Tamandua tetradactyla: one gene and its partners. The protein of the gene in region 2 purifies or fractionates together with the protein of the main gene of each other region. This does not show direct contact. Links are inferred from orthologs where the notes say so. Each region holds a gene or a part of one and is shown on either strand. Other genes may lie near its edges. The genes, in order: PRKAR1A, AKAP11 and PRKAR2B.

Region 1 (8,370 bases), on a different chromosome or scaffold from region 2:
AATTCATCAGGCAATTGATTCAGAGATATTTTTTCTTCCACTAAATTTATATGCTTTTAAGGGGGAAGTGAAGACTAGAGAATCAAATATGTAGATAAATATAGTAGTCTTCCAAAAGGAGTTTCATTTGGTTCCTGCTGCAAAATTCAGGTTCTGAAACATCAACAGCAAAATGCAATAACCTCAACTCCTGAGAGAAAGTATGAGCCACTATCCTCTGCAGAGGCAGGCTGCTGAGAAGTCAGACTCTTAAGGGAATTTCATTCAGTTCTCCCCTGCAAAAGAAATCATCATGACGTAGGAAGTGTGTAAATGGTAAACAGGAGAGAGAGTTATAAGGGCACACAAGTCTGCTCTAAGTGAAAGCAAGTAAGTAAAATGAAGAACATCTGACAATCCCTATACACCACTCCTATCCCATGGGAGTGTCCTAATGTCACACAGCAAACCACTGGAGCAAAGGATCTGATTAGCCAACCACCAGAGTAATCAAAATTTTTAAAGGCACAAAATGAACCCTAGGTGAGTCTTTAAAGCAACCTTTTATTCTAGGATCTTTTACCAAACCCCAGCCATAATGATAACACACTTACCCAGTGAAAAAGAAGGAAAATCCTTAGTAGCCAAAAAAAGAAAAAAAAAAAAAAAAAACCTGTACCAAGTAAATTGTAAAAAACTTAGGAAAATGTCAAAACATTTTCTTCATCTGAAATGTTTGTGTAAATGTGAAACTTACATAAACATTTAATAAAATAGAGTTCAGAGAATTTGAACCACCTTGATGTAAAATAAAGTAAAATAATGAACAGCTTACCATGGAATTAAAAGCTTAGTAATTTAACAGCAGGGTCATAAACTCCTTCTCCTAACTTCTAATTACTAAGCAATTAAGATTAGAAGATGGTTCCTTCTATTCTACAACTGAATTCAATACTAATCAGATTTTTCCAATTATAATTGAAAAACTAGTGATATACAACTATAAATGTTAAAGGAGAAAGGAATTCTAGAGTAAGAATTACTCAATTTGTTTTAACAACTTTCATGATAAAGGTCAATAACAAGTAGATTGATAAACAAACCATGAGAAAATTTGTGGCTCCATAACAAACCCATAAATTAGAGGCCACAGAAAAAGAATGATGCTGCTACTTCAGAAACAATTCTAAAAAAAAATGTTTATTTATTTTTGGGTAGATTTATACCAGCCACTTTTCCAGGTCAATCACATGAACTGAGAATCCACTTCAGCATGATTTTCGGTATTTCAAACAATATTGAAGGCCACCTTAGAACAACCATTAATCAGATCTTTTATGCTTCAAAACAGTCTGACATATTTTAGAAATATCAATACATCTATTCAACTGATCAGAGAGATTATTTTTCAAAGATCAGGTCTTTGGCTGCTAGAGATGACAGAACTGGGTCCAAGAGGTAAAAGCGTTTCTTTCTGTTTAAAACAAGGTAAGGTATTTCAAGACAATACTGGTAAAAAAGAATATGACTGAAAATGTCTCAAGATTAATACAGCCAACATGTGAATCTCTGAATACCCAAACATTATGATCTTAATATTTTTAACGGAATATACCTACATTAACTCTGTACGTATACTTATCTTTACGACCCCAATAACTTAGAAACTCCGGCAAATTACTTAACTACTTTAAAACACGCACTATGCTTTTACACATAAGGACACACTCAGCTCTTTCTTCTGGAAATTCAGTTGCGATAAAATTCGGTTACAAAAACAATTACATGCCAGGAAATATTTAAAATATTCTGAGAAACTGTTCCTGACTCAGACCGCACTCCCTTACACATTTTCTTGGGGTCATCTTGAGGAAGCGTTCGCTTTCCTTCCTCTGCTGAACGGCTCTATCTCTTGTGGCACCACACAGACACCGAGCTGGAGGGGTTAATGGCTATCGCGTATTTTCAAAGGGAAGGACAGAAATGTGCCCTTCGCTTCACTTATGTCACCATGATGACCACAAAACGAAGAAGGGAGGCCCACCTCTCTTCCTTCTTTAGTCGGGGTGTCGAGGAGGTCTCAGGGAAAAAAATCGGGAAAGGGAAGTGGTGGAGGACAAAAGGAAATTTATAAGCCAGGCTATGATCACATCTCATCATGGGGGTGGGGATGGGTGGAGGCTAATCCTGAGAAAGAAAGGGAAAGCGAATGCTGGAAAAGATGGAAGGAGACACAGAAGGCAAGAAAAGAGTTGACGAGTCTCAATATCAGCCATAATGGGAGGGCGGGGGAACGACGATGGCGAATTCCGGTAAAATCGAGCCGCTGACCGTCAGGAAATGGGGGAAGGCTAGCAAGGACGCCGCGGTGCGCGGAGGCGGAGGACACTGGAGCGTCCAGAGCCGAGGAAGGCGGTGGATGGCGGGGGCTGCGGGGGCTGCGGGACCCAGGCGCTGCGGAGACGGAGGGGGGCGGGGGACGCGCGGGCGGGGCGGGAGGGGAGCCCAGCAACCGAGCCAACGCCCCGGCGGCCTGGGGGCCTCGGGGGATGCAGAATGGGAGCCGGGGGGGGGGCGGCCTGGGGCGCAGGGTCTCCGGGGAGGCGCCTGCCGGGCCTGGGAGAAGCAGGGGGTGCGGCCGTCCCCCAGCAGGTCGCTCCCCGAGACGCCATCTTGGATCGGTCCCGCGCTCCCAAACGGGCGAAAGGACGGCAAGGCTCGCTGCGCCGGAGCTCCCGACCGACCCCACTCACCTGAGGCCTAGTGGCAGCGACTACGGAGCTAAGGATGCGAGGCTGAGGCGCGCCGAGCTTCCTCAACGTTTCCCTCCCTGCCGAGCTCCGCTCAGCGACAGCGCCTCCGCTGCAGCGCCACCGGAAACTACCGGGCCTCAGCCAATCAGCGCTTGACTGCTGACGTCAATGCGCCTCGCTCTGGCCAGAGCCGTCGCCTTGGCAACCTTAAAGGCGCAGCGCCAGGGTTCTACCCCCTGCCCCCCTCCTTGAAGGACGCTCGCCCCTCCTCACCCTGGAATCGGTGTCCTTCTGCTCCACTTCTTTGCATCTCTTATCTGCAGCCCTTCCTCAATCCCGTCTCTCCCTCTTACCCACTCTCACTATTCCAGTTTCCCCTCCTTCCTGTTCACCTGCCCTCCCTTACCTGTCCCTCTCTGGACGTCTCAGGTCGCCTTTATTCTTTCTTTTGCTTTCGCTCCCTCTCCGCGTGGCTTCCTTGAGGTTCCCTCTCCCTTCGTCTCCGCTCTCCTCCTCTGCTCCCCACTCTCTCCCTCCTGCCTCCCTCGACGTCTCTCCCTTGTCTCCCTCCCTGCAACCCCCCACCGACCCACGTAGGGCGTCTCGGACGACAGATGGGCGACTCCGCCCCGCGGCCCCTGCTCGCGGGGGGGGGGGGGGGGCGCGGGGCCAGGGGCGGGGAGATTCCTGCCATTTCCAGGCGCCGGGGGAGGCCGCGGCCCCGGAGGATCCGCAGCAGCTGCGCCGCGGGCCGAGCGCGGGCGGATGCCTGGGATGCGCACGCTGAGTCGTGCATCCTGTGCCCGGCCAGCGCCGCGCGGGGCTCCGGGGTCCGGCGCGCCATCCGGTCCAGGAAATCTGAGCCGTGCCAGCTCCCTGCTTGGCTGTTGGGCTGCTGTCCCCTTCTCAAGTGCTGTCGTCAGTGGAGGCCACATCGTCCCTATGGACACGGGCACAGGAGAGGACTTTGTCAGGGTCCAAGAACCTTCTAGAATCTGAAATGCTTCCCCCCCCATTATCGTGCCAGCCCGCACACGGTGAGACATAACCGTGCAGATTGTCACATATGCTCGGTGAGCACGCAAGAAATCTCTGCTGCCCGCAAACACTACACTAATGGGTGGGGATTCAGGCAAAAAGCGACTTCTTTCCTCCTTCAGCCATTTCTTGCCATCAGAATACCTGCCCATGGTGGAAGAAAATGGGGGAGAGGAGATCGTTTTAGATATATCAAGTCGCTAGTGTGAATAAAGGCTCTTTGAGGACCTGTATCCAAGTGTCTGGTGGGGGTCTGCTGTGCTTTAGAGCCCTATGCATAAAATACACACCGGATTTAACACGTCATAAAAAATAACGATGTAAAATATGTCCATTTCTACATTGATTACAGGTTGAAATGATAATATTTGGGATATATTAGGTTAAATATCAGAATAATTTCACCTTTGTCATTTATTTTTTTAATAGTAGGTGTTAGAAATATTTAATTATGTATGTGTCTGGTGGTATATTTCTGCTCCATAGAACAGTCCTAGGACACCAACTGCCCCTAAATCCATCAGACCTAGGGAAGGGTCCAGCTGCCCAGAGTGTTTTATTTAGTTAAGGTTACCCTACTTGCTGACGTCCAGGGGGAGCAAATGTAATTTGAAAAGGGCCCAGGGCCGGGCGGTTGACCTCCCCTATGTTGACCTTTGGCCTTTTCCCAGGCACTGCTTTAACCAAATGGGCGCTGGTGGAATGGGGCATTAAAGGCACAGCCTCCATCAGAACGGATTTCCGCCTTGTCAGTACGAAGAGGAGGCTGACAAACTGAACCTTAGGCTGGCAAGCAGGAGAGGGAATTCCAAAGCCCTGAGCAGGCCCAGTTGTGTCCTCGGAAGAAAACATTGCGCTTATATAAATCTGAGTTTCATCTCAGGCTCTGCCATCTCCGGTAATTGATTTAATCTCCATGAGCCTCAGTTTCCTCAGTTGTAAAAGGAAACGCAGGACTAAAGTAAAATGAACTAAAGAAGATAATAACGGCAAACATAGCTATAGCCCTCAGCAAGTTCTAGGCACAGCCTAAGTGCTATTATTACACATAATTCATTTAATCCTCATAATTACACTATGATGTAGGAATTATCATTAGGGAATGAACAGGAGCCATGGAGAAGTTAAATGACTTTGCTCAAGTTCACACTGGTAGCATGGCCCAAGCCCAGGCAGTGATCTTAATTGCCCCCTTTGCAGTATGTAGGTAAATAAATTGCCTCACACAAGTGTGAGGTGCATTAAATAAATGTTAGTTTACTTCCCACTTCGTCCTCCCCCAATCCTAGAGAAGTACCCAAACCCCAAGGTTGAGACTGAGTTGTACTGTGTCCCACCACTCATGTTCCTTCCCGAGGCAGTCAAACAGAATAAGGAAAAGAAGCAAGTTCATGACATGGGGGGTGGGGGGCGGGCTTTGAGTGGCAGCTGCTCCCTTGCTAAGGCCTGGATGTGTGTCTCTATTCAGCTGCGTTTAGGCACCTGTCCAGCCACAGGCAGCTTCCATGTGTCAGTCCAGTTCAGCTTTGTTCCAGCTGCCAAACCCTCATATGCCGGGGCTTTAAAAGACAAAAAGGGAAACGGCAGTAGGTACTGAGCATGGGGAAGCTCACCGAGACAGCTGTTCTGAAACACCAAACTGCCTCAGTGGGTTCCAAAAGGTGTGAATGGCCTTTCTATGCCTTTTCGAGAATACCAACTTGTAAATTACACTTCAGAAATTACAATTATTCCACTGTTGTTTCTGTATGGTTCCCTCCTCCAGAGGCCTTCTGACCAAAATGCGAAGGTCTGTTGGCCTTTCCTTTGGCCTGGGTCCTAGAAGAGTTCCAAACATAAGTTTTTAGGGCAGTGAGATTGTAAGTAAATTTTTCTCTGTTCAAGTTCTCTAATTGCTGTTATGATGTTTGTGCAACAATAGAAAAAAAGATCTAAGGAAAATAAACATCAGTGGTACATTTAGTAAGCAGAAGCAGAATGAAGAGAACAAAAAGATAAAAGGAACACTTTGGTGGCTCATCTCGTAGTGTTTCTTGTGCCTAAAGTTTCTGTGGGCTCAGAATAGAGCCACGTATTTCAGATTCCACAGAGAGCCTTTCATTGTGCCTGCCCTTCTGTGGTATGTGCTGGTGCTGAGTTGTCAATCATCCCAGGGGACCCAAAGTTGTGACATCATACGTAAACCATTTCCAGCAAACCATCAAAGGCCCAGAGTCTTCTTACTTTTCTCAATGGTATATGGTTCTCTAGACTGAGTAGGAGTAGTTTATCTTGAGGACTAATTGAAAATATTAACGAAGAAACCAGAAGGATGACGATCTTCAGTCTGACACTGAAGAGTGCTCCAAGCAAAATTACCTTCATCCCAAGATAGACGATGAAATCCGCAGTGTTCAAAGGAGAGTGAATGAAGTCAAGTTCAGATATTTGTATGAATCTATGCTGACATGTTCTTCCTCTGGATACCGACCTCCTATGCTTATGCTGTTTAACCAATGTTAACGGCTTGTTAGTAGGTCACAGATTTGAAGCTTTAAAATATATAGTGATGGGGGCAACGGTGGCTCAGTGGCAGAGCTCCTGCCTGCCATGCTGGAGACTCGGGTTTGATTCCCGGTGCCTGCCCATGTAAAAAATAAATATATAAATATATATAGTGATGGGCCTATCACCCATTCAAACCTTTTGAGGTTTACCATGAATGGTAGGCACATTGACCAAGAGAAAGAAATGTATTTATCTCTGTCAAACTGACAAAGTGAACAATCTTGTTAATTTACCACTCTCAGCACTTCAATGACCGCACACCTTTATCTCTTCCGGGAAGTCTTAATATTTTTTTGGACTTGGTCACCTTGAGGAAGCTCATGAAAACAATGGGCTTTCCCCCCAGAAAATATGCAAATGCACATCAGGGGGTTCACAGATCCTAAAGCCCATCCGTGCATGGACTCAGAATCCCTTTAAAAAATGAAGTTCCTGAGGATCCATATGTTAGGTACTAGGTGTCAGGGACACAGAGGTGAATGAACCAGGCCCCACACACAAAAGCTCACGGTCTTGGGGGGCCACTACGGACACAGGTACTTTCAATAGAGGGAGTCCTACTATGGGGGTGTGGAGGGGGAGCTAGAGGTGTGCACTGAAAGGACTTATAGGGCCAAGGCATGCTGCCCAACCCAGGACCCAGTGGTACCCATCATACCTGGCTGGTATTTCAGGAAGAGGAACTGAATGAGCAACAGACAGCACGGGGTGTTGTTGTTTTTTTTAATTTTTTTTGTGTGTGTGAAATATAGCATATATACGATAAAGTAATAAATTTCCAAGCACATTTTAACAGGTAGTTATAGAACCAATTTCAAACTTTGCTATGGGTTACAGTTCCACGGTTTTTTCATTTTTTCTTCTAGCGGCTCCAAGACACTGGAGACCAAAAGAAATATCAAGGTAATGATTCAGCAGTCATGCTTATTTGTTAAATCCTATCTTCTCTGTTATAATCCTCCTCTTTTTTTTCTTTCTGTTTTTGTGAAAAATAGCATATATTCCAAAAAAAAACAATCAATTTCAAAGTACATCATAACAATTAGTTGTAGAACAGATTTCAGAGTTTGGTTTGGATTACAATTCTACAATTTTAGGGTTTTATTTCTAGCTGCTCTAAGGTACTGAAGGCTGAAAGAAATAGCAATATAATGATTCTGCACTCATACTCATTTGTTAAACCCTACCTTGTCTGTATAACTCCACTTGTCACCTTTGATCTTTCTCCCTCTCTCTAGGAGTGTTTGGGCTATGCCCATTCTAACTTTTCCGTGTTGGAAGGTTATTATTCTGTCAATAATATGGGATGGGGGATGGAACTAGTTGATGTTCTGAAAAGGCTAGCCCTCTGCATTTCAGGACCCATCTGGAGGTTGTAGGTTTCTGGAAAGTTAACCTAGTGCATGGAACTTTTGTAGAATCTTATATAATGTCCTAGGTATTCTTTAGGCTTGGTAGGAATGGTTTTCGTTGGGGGTTGGCAAATTATGATAGGTAGCAATGTCTAACTGAAGCTTGCATAAAAGTGACCTCCAGTGTAGCCTCTCCACTCTATTTAAACTCTCTCAGCCACTGATACCTTATTTGTTACACTTCTTTTCCCTCTTTTGATCAGGATGGCCTTGTTGATCCCACAATGCCAGAGCCAGACTCATCCCTGGGAGTCATCTCCCATGCCGCCAGGGAGACTTTCATTCCTGGATGTCATGCTCCATGTAGGGGGGAGGGCAATGGTTTCACAAGACAGCACGGAATTTTAAAGAAAATATCCTTCCATGCAAGGAGACTTGTGAGAAGGTTGTTGCGATGGTCCAAGTGAGAGATGGTGGTGGCTTAAACTAAAAAAATTTCAGCACAGGTGACTGGAGCTTGTGATCGATGAGGATGATGAGGGAGAGAAGGGACTCAAAGATGACACTGAGGTTCTGACTCAGGCAATGAATCATTGCTGCTGCCATTTACCAATTCAGAGAACAGGCGGTGCAGTGAGGGTGGGTGAAATGGGGGATGCGTTGAGTTTGAGGGTCTGTGGGACATCCATGCAGAGCTGTGT
Region 2 (7,849 bases):
CACCAGTAAATATTTAAAAATAAAATGAACTTTTATATATAAGGATGAATGGAAGAATGAAGACATTCGGATCTGCCGAGTCTATATTTAAATTGATAATGTATTTTCCTTCCTCTTCCCCACATATCAGTTTATACACCCTTCACTTAAGCGCAGGCTAAACAGATCTTTTCCTCAGCTGTCCTTACCCCCCATTCTCTCCCAGTGTTTTACTTTATTACCAAAATGCAGTCCACTCCACAGAAAAAAATTAACCAGCTTACCAACCTACTCTCCCCAAAGTTACCTCACACTTTTCAAAGAAAGACAAAATAACAAGTATCTACATTCTAAAAGTTTGAAACCAAAAGATAAAGAACAGCAAAGCTTCTATTTTTCTAACTCTGGAATCAGTCTGCAATGGTGGAATGGGAGGGAACTTTTTCTAATCTAGATTGAGTACTTTTGCCCATTCGCAAATTTCCTAAGTTTTTCATGTTTGGCCAAGTTTCGGGAGAAGTCTTCTGCCCACTTATAAGTGGAAATTTCCTTTAGAATTACCTATAATGTACCATTTGAATTAGTTTGATTTCCTTACCTAGATAGTAATTCCTAAAACTTAAAAAAAAATTTTTTTTGAAGCATTACGCTTTTTCCAGCCTCTGAAGGCAAGGGAATACTTTAGTTTCTAGACTTCCTCCGGGAGTTCAGAAGCTAGAGAATTTCTCACTCTGGTTTTGGCAACTCCTATATCCTGAACAACTTGGAAATATCACTGTCCTAGGAATATAACCCTAGGCAGGCTCTCATCAATAGTGCAGTTCAATGGGGATATACACGAATATATGCACCAGTCACTAGTTACCAACTCAGAGTATATTCACCAGATGTGAGTTACCAACTCCACTTAAGTATCCACTTCTTTCCTAAATCTCTTACACACTCTGATCTCTCAAAAACTACCCTATTACAGTTACAACCAATCATGAAATTCAGTGTCATCCCTGGGGTCACATTTTGCCTCAAGAAATACATGAATAACAAATAACTGCTTGAATGAGCATGACTGTGTAATAAAAAAGATTCATTAAATTGCACTATTTTAACTGACACCAGTAAGTGCTGGGCATTTACTCAAAAATTATAAACAAGGTATTACAACAAAATCTTCTCTGTATTACTGAGCAGCCAATATTTTCCGAATATTTTCAGACATATCAAAATAAAGGTGGGGAGAAGCTAGGGACAACTTAGGTGCTCTGCAAGGTACTGACCAAATAATTACAAAAGCAGAAAGAGAATCAGAAATGTGAAGTTTGTTTTGCACTGAGGCCATTAAATATGCATCTCAGCAATATTTGTCATCTTGAAATTCCTCAATATTTCAAGATAAACCACCTCAATCTAATAAGGCTTAAGAGGAGAGGAAAAGAATTACTAACAAGTTCTATCACTGTGGAGTTTAGACTTTACTGTCATTTGTCCTTTTGCCAATGTTTGAGCTTTTTTTTCAGTTTGGTTATATCTACAAATATATATATATGTATTTATATGCATATATATATATATATATCTACACATAGAGAAAGAGAGAAAGAAGGCAGCTTAGATGCCTGGAATACAAGTATACACAGCCCATTCACAATACTGGATGGCCTACATTTAGGCCACTAACGGCATGAGAGAATTTTAAAGCAAATCCAAACGTCAGTACTCTGATGAGCTACTTGACGCCTTCCGTTTCAGTCATAAGATTTGGGCTGTGCCTGGTTCCAGAGCGCAGGGCTTCTGACAGTGAAGGATGCGCTGACTGGGGACAAAGTGCAATGTCCTTCTCGTGCATACGCTCCTCGTGAATGCACACGACACAAACAAAACACACGCACCGGTACTCACAGAGAAGCCCCGACTCTGACAAACACGCCGGGGATGGAAACTGAATCTGTCATTCAAAGGGACAGCAGCCCCACGGCCACGGCCCGAACGCCAGGGTCCCCCACACAGCCGCGTGCCTCTGGCGTCCTCCCTCCGCCTCGCTCCCACCGCCCTCCTCCCACCGCCGTGAGAAGACGCAGCTCTCCAGCGGGTCCGAACCGGAACACGCACCGGCAAAGCGGCTCCATCCACTCCGACCCCAAAGACAGCCGTTACCCCCTCAACCTGCCGCCTGCGCCGCGGGCGGTCCGCTCCCGGCTCACCTGGGGGCCGCAGCCTCCGCAGCTCACAAGCATGTCACCGGCCTGCAACGACCAGCCGCGCGAATGGGGCGAGCAAGAGGGAGCCCCCTCCCGCACCGGCTCCCAGCCTTCCCCCTCCCCACCCAGCGGCCCGCCCCCGCTCAGCCCAGCCCAGCCCACCCCCTGGGTTTCCGCTGCAGCCGCGCCTGACCGCAGCACTGCCTACGGCCCACGCCTCCCACCCACTCTCGCGTGAATGCACGCCTCTCGCGAGAAGAACACCGTGGCCAAGCCCGCGCAAAAGTGGGTGGGCTCTCGATAAAGGAAAGAAGCAACAGGGAGAACGCTTCCCACGTGCTCGAAGCTAACCACCGGACCGGCCCTGCCAGTCACGTGATATGGAGACGGCCTCTCATTGGCCGAAGCCCGCTCAGCCGTGGGAGCTTTAAACTCGAGGCTGACCTACGAACCTGCGGCGGACGTCTCGCGTGCTTCCTAGTCCGTTGGCTTGGAAACGGTTTAACCCTTTGCTCTTGCAAAAAGCCTCGGCCTCGGCTCTTCTCCGCAGGTTCGTTTTTCGGCCTAGTGTCTTTTCCTTCGACCCCTTAATCTCACCCCCTAGGCCAGCGGGGCATCTTCTTAGCCTCAACGTCAACTTTGCTTTCTTGTGACGCTCCGGGGTTTGCCAAAATCGACAGTCCTACCAGATCTGACGGTCCAAGGAAGGGCCCATCCTTTCAGGGTAGCCCCGCCCCTTCTCCCCAGCATCTCTAGGGAGGACCACTGAGGGCGCACCGGGCCCTTGGCCTATCCTAGCCGAAGGAGTTAGCATCCAGGGATCACCGGGCCCTAGTGCTCTCCTTTTCTCCTTTACGTGGTCACGAAAGCGGAACGAAAGGCGTTTGGCCACGGAGAAGCCCGGCCCTAGAGGAAAGCTGATACGCTTTAAACAGCCGGAATGCTTACAATGGAAGGACCGGTTCAGTCAGGTTGCACCTGACTAGGGCACCTATTCCTCAAGGGTGGAATTACCTGACGGATGAGAAATATATTTTTAAACGTATCCTCACTATGGTTCATGTTCTGCCCTGTTTGTGTGGCGCTCCTAAATATCTAGGCACGACTCTAGGCTGTCGATTGAGCAACGATGATGACGTATTGTAATAACCTAATTTCTAGGACGCGTATCTGAAGGGGAGAAAAAAGATAGAAAAATTATCTGTCGGTGTCAATTGCTATGAGAAGAAATTACAGTAGGCGATGTGATGGTGACTGATTGGATGGCTACAATAGGGACGACCCTTCTGAGGAGGAGATAGTTAAACAGTTTGAATCATAGTCATGCAAAAATCAAAGGGAAGGATATTTCACGCAAGAAAAGAGCTTTCAAAGCCTCTAAATTGGGACTTGTTCTAGTAGGTTTGAGGAGGAAAAAATGAGAAAGAGGAAATGAGCTTGGAGGGGTAAACATGAGGCAGATCCTGTAGGGCTTTGTAGGTCAAGAAAGAATGGAAAGCATTTTTGAGTTTTAAGTAGGGTTTACATTTTTTCAGAAGCTCTTTCTAGCAGAGAATGGATCTTAAGGCGCCCAGAGCAGAATGCAGGGAGATCAATTCGAAGATTTGTAGTCTGGGTGACAGCCACTGGTGACAATCTTAATTTCCAATGACCTTGACATTCCTCTTTTACAAACCTTCAGATTAGAAGTCCTGGTGTTATTTCCTAACTTTTGTTTAAAACGCATTGATAAAGCATGACTTATTGGTATTTAAAAAAGGAGAAAAAGTGGGGACTTTTTTTTATTATTACTTGCAACAAGTAGCAACCAAAAAAAAAAAAAAAAGCCATTTTTTACCCTGATTTTTTTCCCTCCGCGCAGATTCCCGCACAGGTCAATTCTAAGATACAGGAACATAAAGTGATGTTCTATGTAGGTACTTGTTCCTAAGTGTATGATTTTAAAAGTTTGAGGTTGAAGGTTGGAAAATCAAGAGTGTGCAACTACAAGAAACAGGAATCTGAATATTTGAGTTCCAACTCCATGCCCTGTCATTAACTAGTGACGCAACTAAATCAGAGGATCTTATCTTCCCTGAGTCTCAGCTTCCTCATGCATAAAACAAGGCACTCTAACTGGCCTACCGGCAGCAGGGTGAAGCCTTGGTTACACTTTGGCAAGTACACACCAGTAGGACGGAAGCTGGAAAGGAAAGTGCAATGAATTTTTATAAAAATCTAACAGAGCCAGCAGCACAAGCCAAATGAAACTAGACACACGCACACCAGCTGAGGAATTATGAAACTGATTAATACAGATACCAGGAATACTTCCCTAAGAAACCTTGGCCACCTCAGAGTGTGAAAACGTAAGCATTGCCACCTGCTCAACCTCATATTCCCTTTCTCTGTAGCTATTTTAAACCTAAGTATTATTTTATGAATTATCATTCACATGTTCCTAATCAGAGTTTAAAGAAGTAAATGGAAAATAAATGTCAAAAAAATCGGAGACAATATCAATTTTAATGAGAGCAAGAAATCAAGAAACAGGTCATTTTTTAAAAGGGAGAATGATAAAACAAAAAAAAACAAGAAAGAAAGAAAAAAGTATTTCAACAAATTAAGACCATTCTTTTGAAATGCTAATCAGGCACTTTTTTTTTGAGTCTCTTTTAGAGCCCTCATTAATGATTAACTGAAACAGCTGCTTAGTATTGTTAATTTAGATGATCAGTGGAGTTCAACTCTACCATTCAAGTAAGAGGCATAAATTCCCCCAACTCAGTCCAGCAGGACAGTCATGGTGTTCTCTCCTTCTACAGTTCTTTGGAGTCAAGAGAATATGAAGAAATGAGACTCATTTCTACGGATGTCCCTAGCTCCAGTTGCTTTTAAAATTTTCTTTAAAAAAAAAAGCTTTATTGAGATAGAATTCACATACCTTACAATTTACCCATTTAAAGTGTGCAATTAAATGTTCTCTAGTATATTCAGAAGTGTGCAACCATCACCACAATCTAACTTTAGAACCGTTTGTCCAGCCTAAAAGAAACCTGGTACCTATTAGCAGTCAATCCCTCAACCACTCCCAGGCTTAAGCAACCACTAGTCTACTTTATGGCTCCATAAATTTGCCTATTCTATACATTTCATATAAATGGCATCATGCATTATATCGTCTTTTATGTCTTTCACTTAGTATAATGTTTTCAAGGGTCATCCATGTTGTAGCATGTGTCTGTATTCCTTTTTATTCTCCAATAAAATTCTTTTGTATTGATAAACCACATTTTATTATCTTTATCAGTTAATGGGCATTTGGGTTGTTTCCACTTTTTGGCTAAAATGAAAAACAATGCTATGAACATTTGTAGTACAAGTTTATGCAGGTGTTGCTTATTCTTTTTAATCCCTTAAAAATACAAGACATTGTGTGATTGTGAAAACCTTGCATCTGATATTCCCTCTGTCTAGGGTATGGACAGATGAATTAAAAATATGAATAAAAAAACGGATAATAGGGGGAACAAAAAGTTAGAATATATTGAGTAGATGGAAATACTAGTGATCAGTGTGAGGGAGGGGTAGGGGGTATGGTATGTATGAGTTTTCTTTTTTCTTTTTGTTCCTTTTTCTGTAGTGATGCAAATGTTCTAAGAACTGATCATGGTGATGAATATACTACTGTGTGATGATATTGTGAGCCATTGATTGTACACCATATATGGAATGTTTGTGTGTTAAGAATGTTTGTGTATGTTGTCAATAAAAACATTTTTAAAAATACAAGACATTACATTTAGTCAGTTCACAAAAATCCATATTTCTTTTCCTAAGACATAACTTTGCTCCTAGACTTTGTCATTTTTTCCTGTTGTTTGAAGTATGTACGTATTATCCTCAGAGAGTTGGCATTTCTTCTCAAGCAACTCACACCTGACCGTAGCACTCCCCTGCTTAAAATCTTCTGATGGCTTGTTATGGTTCTTGTGATCTACCTAACATTGTCTTTTCCTCTCATATCCTTCTGCTCCTCAGACTCTCCTTTCAGCTCCTCAAAACTTGGCCAGCCCCTCCCTGCCTCAGAGCCTTCTCACAAGCTATTCAGACTGTATGGAATGTCCTTTCTCTGTCCATCCCCATTAGCCTGTGAACATCCAAGAATATTTAACTTTCAATCTACTTTCCTTTCCTCGGGAACTCTTGTCCTAACTCCCCAGATTAAGTAAACTTCCCCCTTATCTAGACTTCCTACTTTTTCTTCAAAGTATGATCACAATTTATAATGATTTTTATTTGTGAGATTATTTAGCTAATGCCTGTCTCCCTCCTCCACTAGACTGTAGGATCTGTGAGTAGGGACCACAACTGTTTTGCTTAGCAGTGCCTGGCAAGTAGTAGATGCTCAGAAACTATTCATTGAATAAATGAGTGAATGAATTGATGAATGAAAACATGAAGATGGGATGGAGTCTCATGACATCCAGTTATCCCTAGTCTTCAGAACATTATGAAGTCATATTAACTCACTACTACTATCATGCCTGCCTCTGCATGTCCTCAGACCGATATCTGTCAAGGTATGGGTAAAACGTTCTCCTTCTCAAAAAAATATGCTTTTATCAGAATGTATTATATAGGCAAAGGTGTGTTAAAATTAACAGTATTACTATTTCTCCAATCTTTTCTGAGTATGTCACATTAACCAAGGATGTTCTAAGTGAAAGAATACCAGCTATAAGTAATAGTCTTTGCAAGTCAAGAGGTTTCCAATTACTGGCTTTTAATGAAATTGAAGGAGACTCTAATTGAGTTTCCTCCAAATAGACCACTAAAAATAATTAATTTTTAGTGAACAATTACTTTGTACTTTTGGCATCTAACTGGGAAGGAGTTCAAAAAATTGTGTGAGATTGCTGTAAGAAACTTCCATTCTTTCTATTTACTTAAGTGTTAATGGTTTGTCAGAATTTATATGTATGGAGTGGAGAATAGAAATAGAATTGATGTTGGAGTCTATCTCATGGTAATCAATAATACTCATCTGTGGATAAATGAACTAATTTTTTGAAAGCCACTTCCTTCTCATAAGAAAAGTACTTTCAATAAAATTTGTTATACTTAATAATTATCAGACTTTATACCATATTGATGTTGTTTTGTGCGCCAGTATTCTAATAGTAGGTGTAGGGTTAACAATCCAGAAGGTGATTCTAGCATGTTAGAGCCTTCCACTGATAGAAAATTAAAAAGTCTTTTTACTTTAACTTATTTTTATATCTATTTTTTTATAATGGGGTGATCAATAAAAAAGCTTCAAGTATAAATTCTGTTAGGATAAAATTCTGTAGGGAGAAATAAAATGGAAATATAAGATTGAAGTGGTAAAAAAAAATACAATTTCCACCCTTAAAGAAGAGTTTGTTTGATTGTCTTTTTAAGAAAAGAATGGTGGATAACGAATCACCAAGACCACATCTCCAGGTAGCATTAATTCATACAAAAAGTAAAGTGAATGGTACTCTGCATATTGCTATAGTAATGATCTTCCATTGTCCCTTTTAGAAGCTTGATTTTTTTTGCACCTATATATAATTTCTACGTACATGTACAAACACACGTAAGTATTTTGTTTTATTTACCCTAAATAAACTTATTTTCTGCACATTCTGCAATTTGATTTTTTTTCCTTT
Region 3 (7,862 bases), on a different chromosome or scaffold from region 2:
TTTCTCATAAAGCTGGAATAAGGAATTAAAGTGTGTTTAGTCAGTGCTTGGCACGCATAGAATGTTAATAAATGGCAGCTATTATTTTTTGTTAATAAGATAAGAAGATATTAATTTATCACTATATGTTGATCTTCCAATGCTTCTCAAAGTATGGTCAAGAAACTACCTATATCAAAATGACCAGGAATGTGTTAAAAAAATAAATTCAATGGTCCACCCTAACCTATTTTAAAAAGCTCTCTAAGAATGGTGCCAGTGAATACTCACTTCAGAATCTAACTTCCTCAAGTATGCATACTTAAAATTGAAAAATTATTGATAAAGCAGATCTTGTGTGCTTCCAGTTCTTGTTCTTTGCTATGCCAGGAGAATTATACAGTATAACTGGTGTTTTTAGTGTTTTGGTCTTTCTAGGTAAAGACTTTAAATTGACAGACTTATAAATTCTAGGGTCATTTCTATCTTTTTCCCCTGTGGAACCATTTTGACTTTTTTCCCCCTTTGACCAGGGTTTGACCAGGCAAACTATGGCCTCGACACAAAGAAGAATAAGCGACTGAAGCCACAGACCCACAAAGTCTAAAATATTTACTATCTGGCTCTTTAGAAAAAACTTTGCCAACCCCTTTGTAGCCTATTATTATTTTTTTAAACTGTGGGTCTCAACATAATTGACTGTTTAGAAGGAGAGAACTGATCAGAATAGATAATATTAGAAAGTACTACACTTAGCAGAGGGAGGTACTGTTGTCAGAGTTCAGTTATGCATTTATACGTACACTGATACGTGCAGTGGATTATGATCAAACTGAATTTGGTTGAAATAAAAAAAGTTTTAAATTCCCAGGGGAGCAGAGACTAGGGAATAAAGAGTGCAGTGGGTCAACAAATATCTATTAAAACTCAAATTGAGTAATTTTTACAGTAAAGGTAACTTGGAGAATATAAACACATATACAATGATCTCTGCTGCTTTAAAGTCAACAGCTTATTTCTTCACCTGCACACAGAAATAGAACTTGTTCTGTGTACAATATCCATTATTGTAAGAAAAAAATAGAATCATCAATGCAAAACCCTCCAAAAACAACAAACAAAATATTATTAGTCATACAAACAACATATCATATTAAACGTACAGAGGTTTTTTACTGATTCACTCAGTTCCTAGATCCCTCCAATCTGGTAAACTAGTTTTTTCCCCTGTGTGTATGTGTGTGTATAGATGCACATGCATGTGTGGGTGTGTCAGGAGATAAGTATCAGGCTCCTCTCCCTTTTATCAACCATTATTGGCTTCTTTCCATCTCTTTAAAATACATTTTCTGTTATCTTTCTCTTGTTTCTAGTGGGAAAAAAAAAGCATTTGCTAATTTCTTATGCAAAAAGAACAATTAAGACTAAGATTACCCTATCTGGGGAAATACTAAAATACATAAAATTAAAATCTAAAAGTAACTACCTGACTTTATTCCTCATAGAGCACTAATTTTCAGGGTTTGTGTGAATGTTTTAGACAAGCAAAAAATATATTTTTAAAGGCCATTTCAACACGTGCTTCTGCAAAGAAAAGAAGCATATTCCTAAGAACATACAAAAGGAGATGAAATGACACCTTAAATGCTTTTATTATATGAAATGCTCTGCAACAAACCACAAGCCAAATAAATAAATAAAAGCCTGCATGTTTGCCTTACAACCACAAAGAGAAAAACACTTGCACATTTACACACCATAGTGTTGTAGTTTGAGAATGCCAAAAAAGGTGGGATTTAGTCATGCATTAATAAAGGAGGATGTGTGTGTGTCTATGTGTGTTTCTGCGTGTTCCGGGGTGGGTGTAGGGTGTAACAGAAGGGGTGGGACTTAAAGGAGCAGCTATTTGAGAAAATTCCTTATTTCCCATTCATTCTTTTTAGCTTCAGTGTCTGGCATAGTGCTTACAATTATTCACTAGCTTTTAATTTTAAAGACAACTAACAAGGCTTCAGAATTCCATTCACTATTTTTTATGTACTTAAAAATTAATTTTTTTCAAAAGCACCAAATCGTTCAATATGTGTTTTAAATAAAAAAACAGAACATTAGCCCGTTTCCTCATGCCAAAGACCTGATGGATTGCAGGCTAAGCAGGTTCCTTTGTTGTATGTCCAAAAATAACAGATTACTTTGTTTCCAAGAATGTCAAAGTTATTACCATAAATTTTGTTCTGCCCCATGGAGTCCCATTTCATGTTTCTTTTAGTGATTCTACGTCTAACACGGTAAAACCAATCAAATTTAACACCCCCCGCCTTTTCTCTTTGGACGCTCCATTAAGAAATATCAGCACTGAAAAAGAATACCAAGGGGGCCAACCAGTTTGCTCTATGCACAATCTATCCGTCAAGCGAAATATCCTCAGCCACAAAGAAAACTGTCTTCCCATGAGATGCCCACACCAAACCGGCCCATCTCTGCAGCTGTTGCTCTGGATGAGAGGGGGCAGATGGTCATTGGGAACCGTAACCTTTCAGCTCCTTCACCTTCAGAGGAGGAAAAGAAAGGTAGAGCATGACAAGAGAGTAGGGTAGGAAGGTGGGCGAATGGGAGAGACAGAAATGGATACTGAGGGGGTGGGCGAGATGAGAAGGTAGCGGGTGGGCGAGATGAGAAGGTAGCGCAGGTGGAGAATGCAGGGAGAGGTAGGTGAAGAAAGCTGCAGGATTAAGGAGTAAAGCGAAGAACGGTACAGGAGGTGAAGGAACTCGGGGGTCGTGGAGGGGATCCCGTCCTCACCACTGAATGCTCCTGCGTCCGTGGCCTCCTCCTCGTCGTTCTCCTCCCCGTTTTCGGAGTCGGTGTGCACGGGTTCCTCCGCGAAGTTGACTCCCTTGCTGGGGGTGCCGCCCCCGGCGGCACCCGCGTCTCCCCAGATCCTGCCCTCATGGCTGAAGCGTGCGGCGCTTTTCCGCTCGTTTTCCTGCTGCAGGCGCGTGAAGTGCTGCAGCGCGAACTCCAGCAGGTCCGCGGGTTGGTGCCTCAGCACCTCCACCGTGAAGCCCTGGAGCAGCTCCGTCAGCCCCGCCGGGATCTCGATGCTCATCCTGCCTCCGGGGCGGCGGGCGCCTGGGCGCCGCGTCCCCGGGCTGCCCAACGGGGGCGGCCGCCGCCCTCGCCTTCTCCCGAGTAGGACCTTGGGCCCCGCGGCCGCCGAGAGCGCGCGGAGGGTGCTAGCTGCGCTACCAGCTACGCGCAGCGCACAGGACCCCGGCGGCAGGGCTGGCCTGGTCCGCGGCTACAACAGCTCGGTGCGGCGGTGGCGGCGGCGGCTGAGCGAGCAAAGCCCGCCGAGGGCTGGCAGCATCTCCGGCTCCTCCCGCTCCCGCCGCCGCCGCTCCTCTCCCAGCCGGAGCCGCCCCGCCCCCGCTTCGCAGAGGCGCGCGGGAGGGGGAAACAAAACGCGCGCCCACGTGATTCCAGAAACCATGGCAACCACCGCGGGCGAGCGCCGCGCTCCAGTCCCTCGGATAGCCTCAGGGTCGAGGGCGCTATCGGGGCCCGGGCGGGCGGGTGGCGCTCTGCGGCAAACGTGCCCGGTGCGGGGTCCCCACTCAACACTGCTCCGGGTCCTCCTGCGAGTCACACCTTCCACCTGTCCACACCCCGGAGGGGGCAGTTCACGCGCCAGCATTCCCACACGTCATTCACGAGTGAACCCAACCGGACCTGCTGACAAGCGATTTACCCTGAAACTTCAGCCTTCAGCTCGGTAGTGGCATTTTTTTTTTCTCCTATAATTTAGTTGTATTGATAAATCTTGGTAATATCTTTTGTTTAAATTCACATAGTAGTGCTGGTTCTATTTTAGACAGAAATATAATATTCATCTTTTTCTTTCGCCACATTTTATCCAAACTTTCGCTGGTCATCGTCTACCTTTTTTTTAGCTTTGCTGATTTTATTCCATTGTGCACGCAGTGTGTTTGCTACTATTTATTGAGACAAATGCATCATTTTTTGTGATGCACTTATCAAAGTTAGTTGATATTCTTTATACAGAATAGTATAGCAATTTGAATAAAATGTCATAAACAGGACAGATGGTCCTAAAGCAAAAAAGCATTGCCTGATTAGGCTCTCATTTAAAATTTATTTTAAGACTTTCCCTTTTGCTTTGAGTGATTTTGAATTTTATCTCCAGAAATAGGAATACTTCAATATAAAGAGAAATAGCTACAAGTAAATATGCTTGAAAAGTAGAAGTCCCTGACTGAAATTTTTAATTAGAAGTATCTTTTGCTGTTTAAAAGCTATTCAAATGCATATACTTCATTTTTTATAGTGACCACTATAAAAATTGTAAATAAAATAGCTCAAAAACAATATTTTATTGTAAATAAAATAGCTCAAAAATGAGCTCAAGTACCCATTCTGGTTTATGTATTCACCCACATAAAAGAGTAAATACATGACTCAGAAAACTAAAAAAGTAGAAAACAAGATGAACAAACTAGTCCTTTTTATAAAAATGCATCTTCATATTAACTCTTTGTTTATGATTCAACTTATAGTCACTCCTTCAGGAAATGTATTTCTCCATTCCCATTTCTTATTAACCTCATAATAATATGTTATTTTAAACCGTAGTAAATGCCTCTAATTATAAGTGCCAGGCGTTTGAAGATAATAAGCTTTTATTAAATATCATGATATTTACATCTCACTGCTTTGAGTACATTGGTCAAAATCTCCATCATATAAGCATTATCATCTTTACAGATCCAGTTATCTAAGATTAATTTGCATCATCTCTCTTCATTTATGATCATACATGTTTCAGTTAAGATTAGCATTGTGTGTAGATGGCAGAAAATGTAAATACGGTGGTTCAAACAAGATAGAAGTTTATTTCTCTGTAATGGAAATGTAAGCATATCAGGGCTGATATGGTGGCTTTATAATTGTCAGAGACCCAGACTCTTTCCAACTCATTGCTGTGTAATCCTATTTGTGGCTTCTACTTTGTGGTCCAAAATAGCTTCTCCAATTCCAATCATCTTCATATTTCAGCCAAGAGGAAAGTGGAAGAGAGAAGGGAACCTTCCCATTGCAAAGCCCCCCCCACACACATACACCCGCACATTTTAAAGACTTTTCCCAGAAATTAAACACACCAATTCCTTGTATCCTTTTGGCTGGAACTTAGTCACATGGTTACACCTCTGGTGTGGTAAATTGCAAAATTTTCCAAAGATGACTGTGACAATATCTCCTGTCCCATGTGCTCTTCTACAATGCAACCTTGCCATTCCTCCATCAGAAGTTTAAGTCTAATTCCCTTCCTCTTGAATTTGGATAGGTTTCTAACTGCTTCAGTCAGTAAAGCATGATAGAAGTCATGCCAACATGATAGAAGCAGCAAGCCCAGCAGTATCCTGTCCAAAATTCTGACCCACAAAATCCATAAGCATTAAAAAAAAAAAAAAAGAAGGTTGTTGTAAGCCTCTAAATTTAGGGGTAATTTGTTATATGGCAATAGTAGCTGAGACACATGACTCTAAGGAAAGTTTGGGAATGTAATATTCATTTTGAGTGGTCATGTTCCCAGTAAATATATGAGTATAAAGGAGAACCAAATCTAGGGAAAATTTTCAATCTCCATCACAAATTTAAACACCTTTTCCACCATAAATGACAGAAGAAAAAACATTGCTTTTCCAAACATTTACCAGAGCCATATTTTAAAGCTGTATCCTTCATTTTGTGTTTCAAAATGAATTTTATTCCTTTTGTTAACTAAATATATGAGCAATGGTAAATGGCTCTCAGCCATCAACCACAATGCCAGGGTTTGTATGACTCTCATTTCCTTAGTATTATACCAGTGACTCGAGCATGAAATATATAATTGGATTAGATGACCAATAATGCCCTCGCCCAGTCTGGGATATTCTACAATAGTGTAATGTTAAAAGAAAACATGTTGGATTTAAACATCTTTGCAAATACTTCTCTAACAATTTATTTGTGTAAATTCTCAAATCAATAACCATGACCTGAAGAAATAAATCTTGATCCCGATATTCCCATTATGTTAATATTATTCTTGGAGCCGACATTTTCTTTTCAAATTATATTCTGGATTTATTCACTACCACATAACCTTTTCAGTGCTATTGTATGATTTCTTTTACTTTTGTTTTCAAAACATTTCCTTTTGAACCTTGAGGTACAATGACAGTGGTTTATGAGGACTATTCTTCATGAATTCTTTAAAAGAACATCAATGATACCGATTCCTTGTTTGTTGACTTACAAAGCAATTTGCACTAGTTTCTCAGAGAATCACACTGGAAGCATTGCTAGAGAACTCCAAGGGCTCAGAGTTGGGATGAAATAAGAGTACTACCAAATTTGTTTTCACACATGGGAAATTAAGCAGATACCGGACAGAGATATCAACTTGTCTTTGGCAACATGAAGTTGCCAAAACAAATCTATATACATGGACAAGCTGTTGGTTTGTGCAGCCTTAACAATGGCTGGTAATAACTATGACCAATCACTCATACAGTGTTTCCTATCAGTTGTTCATATGTATCCTGATCAAGTCTCTTTGGTACAAGAAATATATATATATATATACCCGCTCAAGGTTACACACACACACAAAGGTAGAAAATTGAAAGGATATTGGTTTGTGCTGGCACAGGGCCACTATGGCCATCAGTTCAGTTTTATATACTTTTAGCCATTGTGCTGGTTTGAAACTGTTATGTAACCCCAGAAAAACCTTATTCTTCCAATCCTGATTCAATATTGTAGGGTGTGACCATTTGATGAAATTACTTTCATGGAAATGTGACACACCAGATTGTGGGTGTGATCCTTTGATTAGGTGGAGATGTGACTCCACCCATTCAAGGTGGGTCTTAATTAATTTACTGGAGTCCTTAAAAGAGCTCACACAGAAATAGTTCAGAGCTGACACAGACACAGATGTTTGGAGATTCAGAGCCCAGCAGACATTGCCATGTACCTTCCCATGAGATGTTAAGCAAGGACCATGGTACTAAAAAACCAGAACCAGGAAAGAGCCAAGGAAAGAGCCAAGGAAAGCTAAGAAAAGAAATCCAGAGTTTTCTCAGTCAAGCTAAGAAAGGACCAGCAGATGCCAGCCATGTGACAGAGGAAATCCAAACGCCATCCGGCCCTTTCTTCAGAGTCAAGATCTCCATCATTTATGCATTATTATCTTTAGAGATCCTGTTATCTAAGATTAATTTGTATCACCTCTCTTTTTTTATGATCATACTAGTTTCAATTACGATTAACGTTGTCTGTAGATGGCAGAAAATGCAAATACAGTGGCTCAAACAAGATAGAAGTTTATTTCTCTGCAATGTAAATGTAGGCATATCAGGGCTGGTATAGTGGCTTCATGATTGTCAGAGACCCAGACTCTTTCCATCTGGTCACTGGCTGCCTTAATTTGGATTTTTTATGGCCTTAGAACTGTAAACTTGTAATTTAATAAATCCCCTTTAGTGATTAGGTAGTACAGAACAAGATCTGCCTCTTCAGCAAAGAGAAAAGACCCAAACGTGGAGTCTATGGATGGTTCAGGCACCATGTAACATATCTACTAAAAGATGGTCAATTCATAGTCTGAAAATCTTTTAGACATTTGGCCTAACACTAAGTAAAATTTTTAATCTCTAAATGCAGCTTTGTGAAGGGTTGTCTCTAGAAAATCCCCAAATTTAGTGTGCATCAGAATCACCTAGCAGACTTGTTGAAATATGGATTTCCAGGCCCCACTCTCAGAGTTTTAGATTCTTTATATCTGAAGTGGGGCCATAGTATTTGTATTTATA

Evidence for each region.
Region 1: the proteins of AKAP11 (region 2) and PRKAR1A purify together in Homo sapiens (affinity purification with mass spectrometry; 3 studies listed by BioGRID and IntAct, counting the BioPlex papers as one, with this or other methods). This does not show direct contact. The link is inferred for Tamandua tetradactyla from reciprocal best matches to the Homo sapiens genes AKAP11 and PRKAR1A.
Region 3: the proteins of AKAP11 (region 2) and PRKAR2B purify together in Homo sapiens (affinity purification with mass spectrometry; 3 studies listed by BioGRID and IntAct, counting the BioPlex papers as one, with this or other methods). This does not show direct contact. The link is inferred for Tamandua tetradactyla from reciprocal best matches to the Homo sapiens genes AKAP11 and PRKAR2B.

Annotation. Positions count from the first base shown.
Region 1 is NC_135332.1:9,211,338-9,219,707, reverse strand, and holds the start of PRKAR1A (cAMP-dependent protein kinase type I-alpha regulatory subunit), read right to left. Parts: upstream 3,307-8,370; 5' UTR 3,139-3,306; intron 2,890-3,138; exon of another isoform or gene 2,733-2,889; intron 1-2,732. UniProt on the Homo sapiens protein: Regulatory subunit of the cAMP-dependent protein kinases involved in cAMP signaling in cells.
Region 2 is NC_135330.1:116,862,982-116,870,830, forward strand, and holds the start of AKAP11 (A-kinase anchor protein 11), read right to left. Parts: upstream 3,017-7,849; 5' UTR 2,627-3,016; intron 2,291-2,626; exon of another isoform or gene 2,178-2,290; intron 2,105-2,177; exon of another isoform or gene 2,086-2,104; intron 1-2,085. UniProt on the Homo sapiens protein: Binds to type II regulatory subunits of protein kinase A and anchors/targets them.
Region 3 is NC_135327.1:145,801,862-145,809,723, reverse strand, and holds the start of PRKAR2B (cAMP-dependent protein kinase type II-beta regulatory subunit), read right to left. Parts: upstream 3,121-7,862; 5' UTR 3,089-3,120; coding exon 2,782-3,088; intron 1-2,781. UniProt on the Homo sapiens protein: Regulatory subunit of the cAMP-dependent protein kinases involved in cAMP signaling in cells. Type II regulatory chains mediate membrane association by binding to anchoring proteins, including the MAP2 kinase.